Macaca mulatta: one gene and its partner. Each later gene encodes a partner of the first gene's protein in a complex. Links are inferred from orthologs where the notes say so. Each region holds a gene or a part of one and is shown in the gene's direction. Other genes may lie near its edges.

Region 1 (3,647 bases):
AGGCATTTGAACATCTTGGCAATGCACTGACTTATGACCCTACCAACTACAAGGTACTACAGACTGTGAAGGCTCTGGCCTTCAGATAGATGGTCCCACTGCTCCTAGAGGTGATCTGACCCTGGAAAGCAAAGGAATAGCTTCTTAAATTTGGATACCTGAGAAATAGAAAAAATACAAATATAAGGTGGTTCTTCTTATTTGAAAGTATTGTCAAGTATGCTCTACTTATCTTCTAAAAGTGCACATTTGTTACAATAGACGTGTAACCCCTGCAGAAAGCAGAATCATAGTGCTAGTAAAGCTTGTGTGTTAGGAAATTAGCAATGCCTCCACAACTATTGTCAAAAATAAATCTGCTGGGCATGGTGGCTTATGCCTGTAATCCCAGCACTTTGGAATGCTGAGGCAGGAGGATCGCTTGAGGCCAGGAGTTCAAGACCAGGCTTGGCAACGTAGTGAGACCCCCATCTCTACAAAAAAAAATTATTATTCAGGCATGGTGGCACACACCTGTAGTCCTAGATACTCAGAAGTTGGAAGAGGGAAGATCACTTGAGCCCAGGAGTTTGAGGATACAGTAGGCTATGATGGCACCACTGTACTCCAGCCTGCGTGACAGAGTGAGACCCTGTCTCTAAAAGGCAACAATAATCATGTTGAAATGACTTCTAGAATCTTAATGATTTGATATTACAACTTTTGTCTAGATGTGACTTGGGGAATGAGAAGGAATAGCATCAAATGGATGAGTATCATTGAGGAGATGCAGCAAGACAAGCTGTTTATAGAAGGATACAAACAGAGTTCTGATTTAGGAAGTAATATTAGCCTCTCAGCTCCCACCTTGATACCTTTCCTTAGAGAAATGAAAGGGCTGGGCCGACGAAGCCTAAAGCTGACTCACCCTCTGTTCTATGGTAGAAAGAAATATACCTTAAGTAGCCACGTACAGGTGTATTTCAGGTGTCTAGAATACTTGGTGTACCGGGCTGCAGAGAACAGATTAAAGGAAGTTAAAATTAATCAAAAGGTTCTGGTATTCATTCTGAAATACTGACTTTCCTGGCTAGAAGTAGGAAACAGATGGGTAAAGCAAGTAAAATTTTATCTTTTTTTTTTCTTTTTGTTTTTTTGTGCTGTGCCAGAGAGAGCCACAGTGTAGGGTGCAAGGGCATTCCTCAGGAACATTTGTCCCAATAGCTTGGATATATTATTTATGTCCCTGGAAGAAATTTTTCAGTCCCATCTGTGCTGATGGGCCTGCTGAGTATAGACTCAGGAAGGCTGCCTCACTGCTACAGCCTTTTGGGAATGACTGAATTACTTTCTATGTGCCATGTTTTCAGGCCATCTTGGCAGCAGGCAGCATGATGCAGACCCACGGGGACTTTGATGTTGCCCTCACCAAATACAGAGTTGTGGCTTGTGCTGTTCCAGAAAGTCCTCCACTCTGGAATAACATTGGAATGTGTTTCTTTGGCAAGAAGAAATATGTGGCGGTGAGTGTCCCCTCATGTTCTTTGTTCGCATTCATATATGTAGTTATTGGTCTGTTTAGCTTGCCCCACTCATTGAGTGCCCCTTCTCTCTCATAGGCCATCAGCTGCCTGAAACGAGCCAACTACTTGGCACCCTTCGATTGGAAGATTCTGTATAATTTGGGCCTTGTCCATCTGACTATGCAGCAGTATGCATCAGCTTTTCATTTTCTCAGTGCAGCCATCAACTTCCAGCCAAAGATGGGGGAGCTCTACATGCTCTTGGCAGGTAAGAAACATTTATGTGGAAAACTCTCTCTGCCATCTGTAATGAGGGAAAAATGGATTAGAATCATGGAAGATCAGTGGCTGTCTCATAGGAGCCATTCCCTTAGAGATCCTATAGGAATCTGGATTACTGTCCTGGAGCTTGAAGAAATAGATAAAAGATGACAAAAGAACTTGGTTGTTTCTCACTTGGGGGAGTTTCACTCAGAGACCAACAGGTTAAATAAAGATCATCCCTAGTTCACCTTTTACCAATTTTTTCCTCTTGCCTTGACAATTCATTTTTATATATATTGAGTCCAACTAAGTTCCAGATAGGAAGTGTTAAGAGCTTGGGGTCTAGGTGGGGTCCTGCCTCTACTACTTATTATATGTACCTAGGGCTGATGTGAGGATTGCATGATTAAGCACTCAATTCATAATACTGGTTTTGTTGAAATACTGATTTTTGAAAACTTGGTTTTACTGTGGTTATATAATTGGTCTATTATTATCAATATTGTTGTTACTATAATTGGCCCCTAGGTGGTACTTCTAAGTCAAGCTACCTTATGTTTAAACCCTTATCTCTTCTAAGCATGTTATATAGAATGCTGTTCTCTTCCTGAAACTCATTTTATGCCATGCAAATACTAAAATTATCATAAAAATAAGTTAAAATTAAACACTAAAAATTATGCACAACCATTTTAATTTTAAAGTACTGACTAAATAGTCTTCCTAGGAAATTTTTTCTCCATATACATTTACTTACTAAATATAAGACCCAAAGCAGATTTCTATGTCCTCATTTGGCAGTGGTCTTCCAGTGGCTTTTTGTTTATTATTGTGGGGTTCTTACTCAGAAAGCTTGCAAAAGCAATTGAGTCATGGTTATTTGAGGGTTGCCTGAATACAAAGATAACTGCTTTAAAAAAACAACAACATAGGTTTTATTATTATTATTATTCAGATATGGTATGGGCAACAGATCAGAAGACATCTGCCACTGGAAAGATAGTCTGTTACAATTCCTGAGAAGGAGGGCATGCCACACCATGCAGGGCCACATGGGGAAGCACCAGGTCAATCAGAAGGTGGAGGGAGCAAGGGGTAAATGTGGGCACGATTCTTTATTATAGTTTTCATGGGTAGAAATCCCCATACCCAATAGTTATTTTTTTTCTGGCCCTCCCTGCTCCTCCAATAAGCTCCGGTGTCTGTTTCCCTCTCTGTTTCCATGTGTTCTCATCATTTAGCTCTTACAGTGAGAACAGGATTTGGTTTTCTGTCCTGCATTAGTTAAGCTAAGGATGATGGCCTCCAGCTCCATCTATGTTGCTGCAAAGGACATGATCTTGTTCTTTTGTATGACTGTGTAGTATTCCATGGTGTACATTTACATTTTGTTTATCCAGAATGGGCATTTAGGTTGATTTTACATCTTTGCTATTGTGAATAGTGCTGCATTGAACACACAAATGCATGTGTCTTTACAGCAGAATGATTTATATTTCTTTGGGCATATACCCAGTAATGGGATTGCTGGGTTGAATGGTAGATCTGTTTTTAGCTCTTGGGGGAATTGCCACACTGCTTTCCACAATGGTTGAACTAATTACACTCCCATCAACAGTGTATAAGCATTCCCTTTTCTCTGCAGCCTCACCAGGATGTTACCTTTTGAGTTTTTAATAATAGCCATTCTGACTGGTGTGAAATGGTTATCTCATTGTGGTTTTGATTTGCATTTCTCTAATCAGTGATACTGAGCTTTTTTTCATATGCTTGTTGGCTGCATGTATGTCTTCTTTTGAACAGTGTCTGTTTATGTCCTTTGCCCACTTTAATGGGATTGTGTTTTTCTTGTAAATTTGCTTAAGTTCCTTATAGATCCTG
Region 2 (4,261 bases), on another chromosome or scaffold:
GGAAGAAGAGAAAAACAAAGAAAGAGGAAAAAGAAAGAAAAGAAATAAAGAGAAAGAAAGGCAAATTAATGCTTTGGAGTCATTACTCTTCCACCTAGGCATGGGGGGAGGGGGATGGTACAAAAACAATGGATACTGAGGGGCTGGGGGAAAAAATCGTCTTGCCCCGAAGCCTCTTGCGTTATAAGCCTGGGGGAGTCGGGGGAGAGTGAGACTACTTTTCCTCTCTCCCTAAAAGCTGTGCTATCACGGGGAGAGGTTGCCATCCGGCATGTTCTACGAGGCGGTCTCGAAGGGCTACAACTCGCTTCGCCAGGCAACACACCCAGAGCCGATCCAGCACTCTTCACTCAAAGGGTTTTCAGGGAGAGGAGAACGGGAAAGCAAGGTGGGCTCTAGGGAGGGGGCGCGAAGAGACCCCACCCTGTATGACCGCCGCTGCGCCCGGGCCCTCGCCAACGATTTACACGACTTGGGCGCCCTGCGGACTGGGCCCGGGCCCCCCGGGAACCGAGAAGAGCGAGACTGTCCGCCGGGCGCCCCCGGCCCGCGCCCTCGCGCCGGCTCGCCCTCGCCCAGGCGCTGTCCTGGCCGCCCGCCGCCGCCGCAGGCCCGGCCCCGGCCGCTGTCAGACCCGACCGCCTTCCTCTCCGCGCCGAGCTGCGGGCTCCCACGCGAGCAGGCTCCGAGGGCCCCGCACTCCCGGAGACAGCACCCAGGAAAGCGGCGGCGGCGGCGCCTCCCAGGGCCCCGGCCCCTCGGGCCTCGCCCCGGCGTTGCCGGCTCGCGCCTGTCAGGGCGCGCGGGGCCTCCCCCTACCGACAGCCAGCCCGACAGCCCGACGGACAGGAAGGCAGGCAGGAAGAACCGACCCACAGACACCCTCCGCCTCATCGGCCCCGGGTTACCGTCAGGAGCCCCGACTCCGCCATCCTCCTCGCTCGCCCTGCTTCCTCCTCTTCCTCCTCCTCCTCCTAAGAAGCGACGCTGCCCAACCGCCGCCCCCCGCCCGCCCCTCCCCCACTCGCCCCGCCCCACCCGCCCCTCCACTACTCTCGCTCCAGCCTCCCCGCCCCACCCCTCCGGCGTGGGCCCGTCACTCGCTAGGCAAGAAAAATGGGCGGAGCCGGGGCAAGCGAAGCTGCCCAATCAGAGAAGGGCAGTGGCGCCTGCTTCTCTCTCTCCGCCCTTTTCCTTTCCTCAGTTCCTCTACGCCGTCTCCCGCCCACTGGGCGCCGCTGGCTAGCCGGGCTACAGAGTAAGCCTCCTGCAGGGTAGAGTGACAACTCTCCGATCGGAAGTTACTGTTGAAGCTAAGGCGGCCATAACTGATAATGGCAACAGGAGTTTCCTGGCTTCCTGTTTCCAGGGTGACGTAGATTTTTTTCCTTCGCCAGTCTCACCGTTACCCGGGGCAACAGCTGAGCAGTCTGGGAAGGGATGCATCTGTAAGTAAGCCCAAAGAGGTACCGTGGGTGACCAGACATCCCATGTTAGACAAGTTAATTCATACTCTGGACTACACGTCCAGTTTCCCGGCCCTTATTTTACTGAGACATCTGGTCACATACGTAGATGGACTATAGTTTAGGGCTCCGAAAATCCCTCTCCTGCCCGGAAGTTGCATTTGGCACTTCCGAATAGGGTCATGGCGGAAGGGGGTAAGGGGGTAAATAGCCTCGCCGCCCGTGCCCTAGGGAATGCCCATTCTTGACCTCAGTTGCAAAGTGAGGTGAGTCCCTGGGCCCCAACAAGTGGGCCGGACCCGAGCCGGACGGTCCCTGTGGGACGGAGCGCTGAAATGGAGAGCGGGGCTCAGGGCCCCTTCCGTTAGAAGCTGCTTTTCTTTCCGGGCTGGCCTAGCGGCGGCCCGCCCTCCCTCCGCCCCCCTGAGGCTCCCTGTGGGGTGAGGCAGCGCTACAGGCCGCCCTAGCCCAGCCAGAGCCAGGCTGGCTGGGAGGGCCCCAGCGGGGAATGGGCGCGGACCTCGGGCGGAGCTCCTAACTCCGGCAAAATGGAGCTCCTGACCACGCCTCCGCAAGTTCCTATTAAGTACTTTCACTCTCTGGCCTTTAGAGGGAAGAGAATTCGGGAACTTGAGAAAATAATTTTCCACCTTCAGCTATAAAAGAAAAAGATGAGCCCCTACAATCAGGGCAAGACCTCTGTCTTTTTCCCCTGCCACCTGCCTTCTCATTCTGAGTTTTCCCCCCTTTCCGCGTTTGTCCTTTGTAAGCTTTGACTGCGGTTCTTGTGGTGGGATATACTATCCTAATCCTGCAGGTCTACAGATTCTTAACGTGTTGAATATTTTTGAAAATACTGTATTGCTTTAATATGGCCCTTTACAAAGTTATCATACATTATCTTGTAGTTTCTTCTGTATGCTTGAGTCAAGAACTCTCAGTCATCTTGGTAATACCGGGTTGGATGCTTAAAGCTGCAGCAAAAAGACCAGAACTTTCAGGTAAAATTGAAAATTGTTAATATCCAGCCAGTCAACAAAACCTACCTTCTCGACTTAATTTCTACTTCCCTGGTACTTACACGCCAGCCAAAATGAACTACTCTTGTTTCTTGGCGGTTAATTACTGAAATCTGTTGTAGCACTCACCTTTTGTGATTCTGTCTGATTCTGTTATTCGCGGAGATGTGTTTCCAGATTCTCCCCAGCAGAAAGTAATTCCTCTGAGTTTAGCATTTTTTGCACGTCTTTTATGACAATCAGTATGTTATATATATATAATAGCCGCTTATGTTTTTAACTTCACTACCATGTCTGCACCTAAATAGAATGGTTTGTATCAGATTCGTCTTCCTGTCATTTTCACCCTGCACATGATATTATTTTGGTAAATACTTACTGAAAGTTTGAATATCTCGGGTGTCTCTTGGATGCCCAAGACAGTTCCAGCCAAGTTTTAGAGATCTTCAATTTATCAGAAATTCAACTGAGCGCCTGCTACTCAGCCTTTTTTGACGTTTCCCCTGTGAAGTCTTTCTGACATGATTTTTTTCCCCAATGTTTTATTATGAAAGTGTTCATATATTTAAAAGCTGAAAGAATTAAATAATTTAATGAATATTCATATACCCGTCATCTAGATGCAGCAGTTAACATTTTGCCATATTTTTTTCATTCCTCCTCATTTTTTCATTGTTGTAAAAAGTTGCAGACACTTATTGTTAGGCAGACACCCTTAAGACTTTGAGCATGAATTTCCTGAGAATTTTGAAGTTCTCTAGCAAAACACAATATCATTATTACAGCTGTTTTGTAATGTTTAAAATCTAGCCCAAGTGCTAATTTTCCTAATTTACCCAGGAATATCCTTTATACCTTCTCCTTCCCATTCTTGCAAAAAAAAGAAATCAGGATCCAGTCAAAATTTTTCTTCAGCTTTAATGTAGTGGAGTTCCCCCATCTTTTTCCCCCTGTGACATTGGCATTTTGAAGAGTTCAAGCCAGGAGTCTTTTTGGAAATGGGCCCCCCTTTTTTCTTCTTGTAAACCAGAAATTAGTCTAGAGGCTTAAGTTGAACATTTTTTTTTTTTTGCAAGGATATGTCACAGTGTTCATACTTTTCCAGTCATGACTAAGCCTTCTCAAACGCCAAGTATACGCACCTTTTCCATGATTTGCTGGTTAAATCCATCTCACTTCTCAGCATGCTTACCCCTCTCCGGTGTCCTACAAAGAGGAGGGTAGCATTTAATCATGTGTGTATAGAGTATGTGTTAGTGCCTTGGGTTGGCAACATAGACTGACTACCTTTAATAAAGTGTTGCTGCTACTTTGCCTATTCTTGGAACTGATGCAATGTATTTCTGCAGTAAAGTGTACTGATGTCAGCATAGTTTATGAGTTTCAACTCCTGGCACCCTGCAGACATTGTTGGAAGATGTGTGGGCCCTGCTATTCAAATACAGATGAATCTTGATGTTATCAAAGCAAATACCAAGGCAACTGTTGGCCATCTGGTCACATTCCAATTTAGGCATTGTTATTTTTCTCACTGAAATTCTCATGCAAGTCTTAATTGGTCCTGGTGTTTTTGTGATAGCTTTTTGGTAGCATTAAGCAGAGCCTATTAAAAATTACAAAATCAAGATTATACTTAGTACATTAGATACATCCTCTGTCTAATGGATAGATAAGTGTTTGTGGAATTTACTTCATAATCACAAAAGGAAAATTCTCAAGACTGCCAACCTCATATACTCCTAGCCTAGACTTATATTTGATTATGAAAGATAAGTG

The links.
Region 2: the proteins of BBS4 (region 1) and BBIP1 are in contact, whole or in part, in a cryo-EM structure (PDB 6VBV), measured with the Bos taurus proteins. The link is inferred for Macaca mulatta from reciprocal best matches to the Homo sapiens genes BBS4 and BBIP1. Residues at the interface, in NP_001069424.1 of Bos taurus: Leu210, Leu213, Tyr236, Leu240, Ala241, Ser244, Gln247, Thr248, Ser269, Pro271, Asn274, Asn275, Met278, Phe281, Gly282, Lys284, Tyr298, Leu299, Pro301, Leu302, Asp303, Trp304, Lys305, Ile306, Tyr308, Asn309, Leu312, Leu315, Thr316, Gln318; in XP_003587939.1 of Bos taurus: Met7, Phe8, Arg9, Glu10, Val11, Leu12, Pro13, Lys14, Gln15, Gly16, Gln17, Leu18, Tyr19, Val20, Glu21, Asp22, Leu28, Lys30, Pro31.

What each region holds. Positions count from the first base shown.
Region 1 is NC_133412.1:50,453,465-50,457,111, forward strand, and holds part of BBS4 (BBSome complex member BBS4), read left to right. Parts: coding exon 1-53; intron 54-1,349; coding exon 1,350-1,502; intron 1,503-1,598; coding exon 1,599-1,770; intron 1,771-3,647.
Region 2 is NC_133414.1:123,099,996-123,104,256, reverse strand, and holds the start of BBIP1 (BBSome-interacting protein 1), read left to right. Parts: upstream 1-1,388; 5' UTR 1,389-1,732; intron 1,733-2,308; exon of another isoform or gene 2,309-2,374; 5' UTR 2,375-2,430; coding exon 2,431-2,467; exon of another isoform or gene 2,468-2,785; intron 2,786-2,864; exon of another isoform or gene 2,865-3,057; intron 3,058-3,627; exon of another isoform or gene 3,628-3,691; intron 3,692-4,261.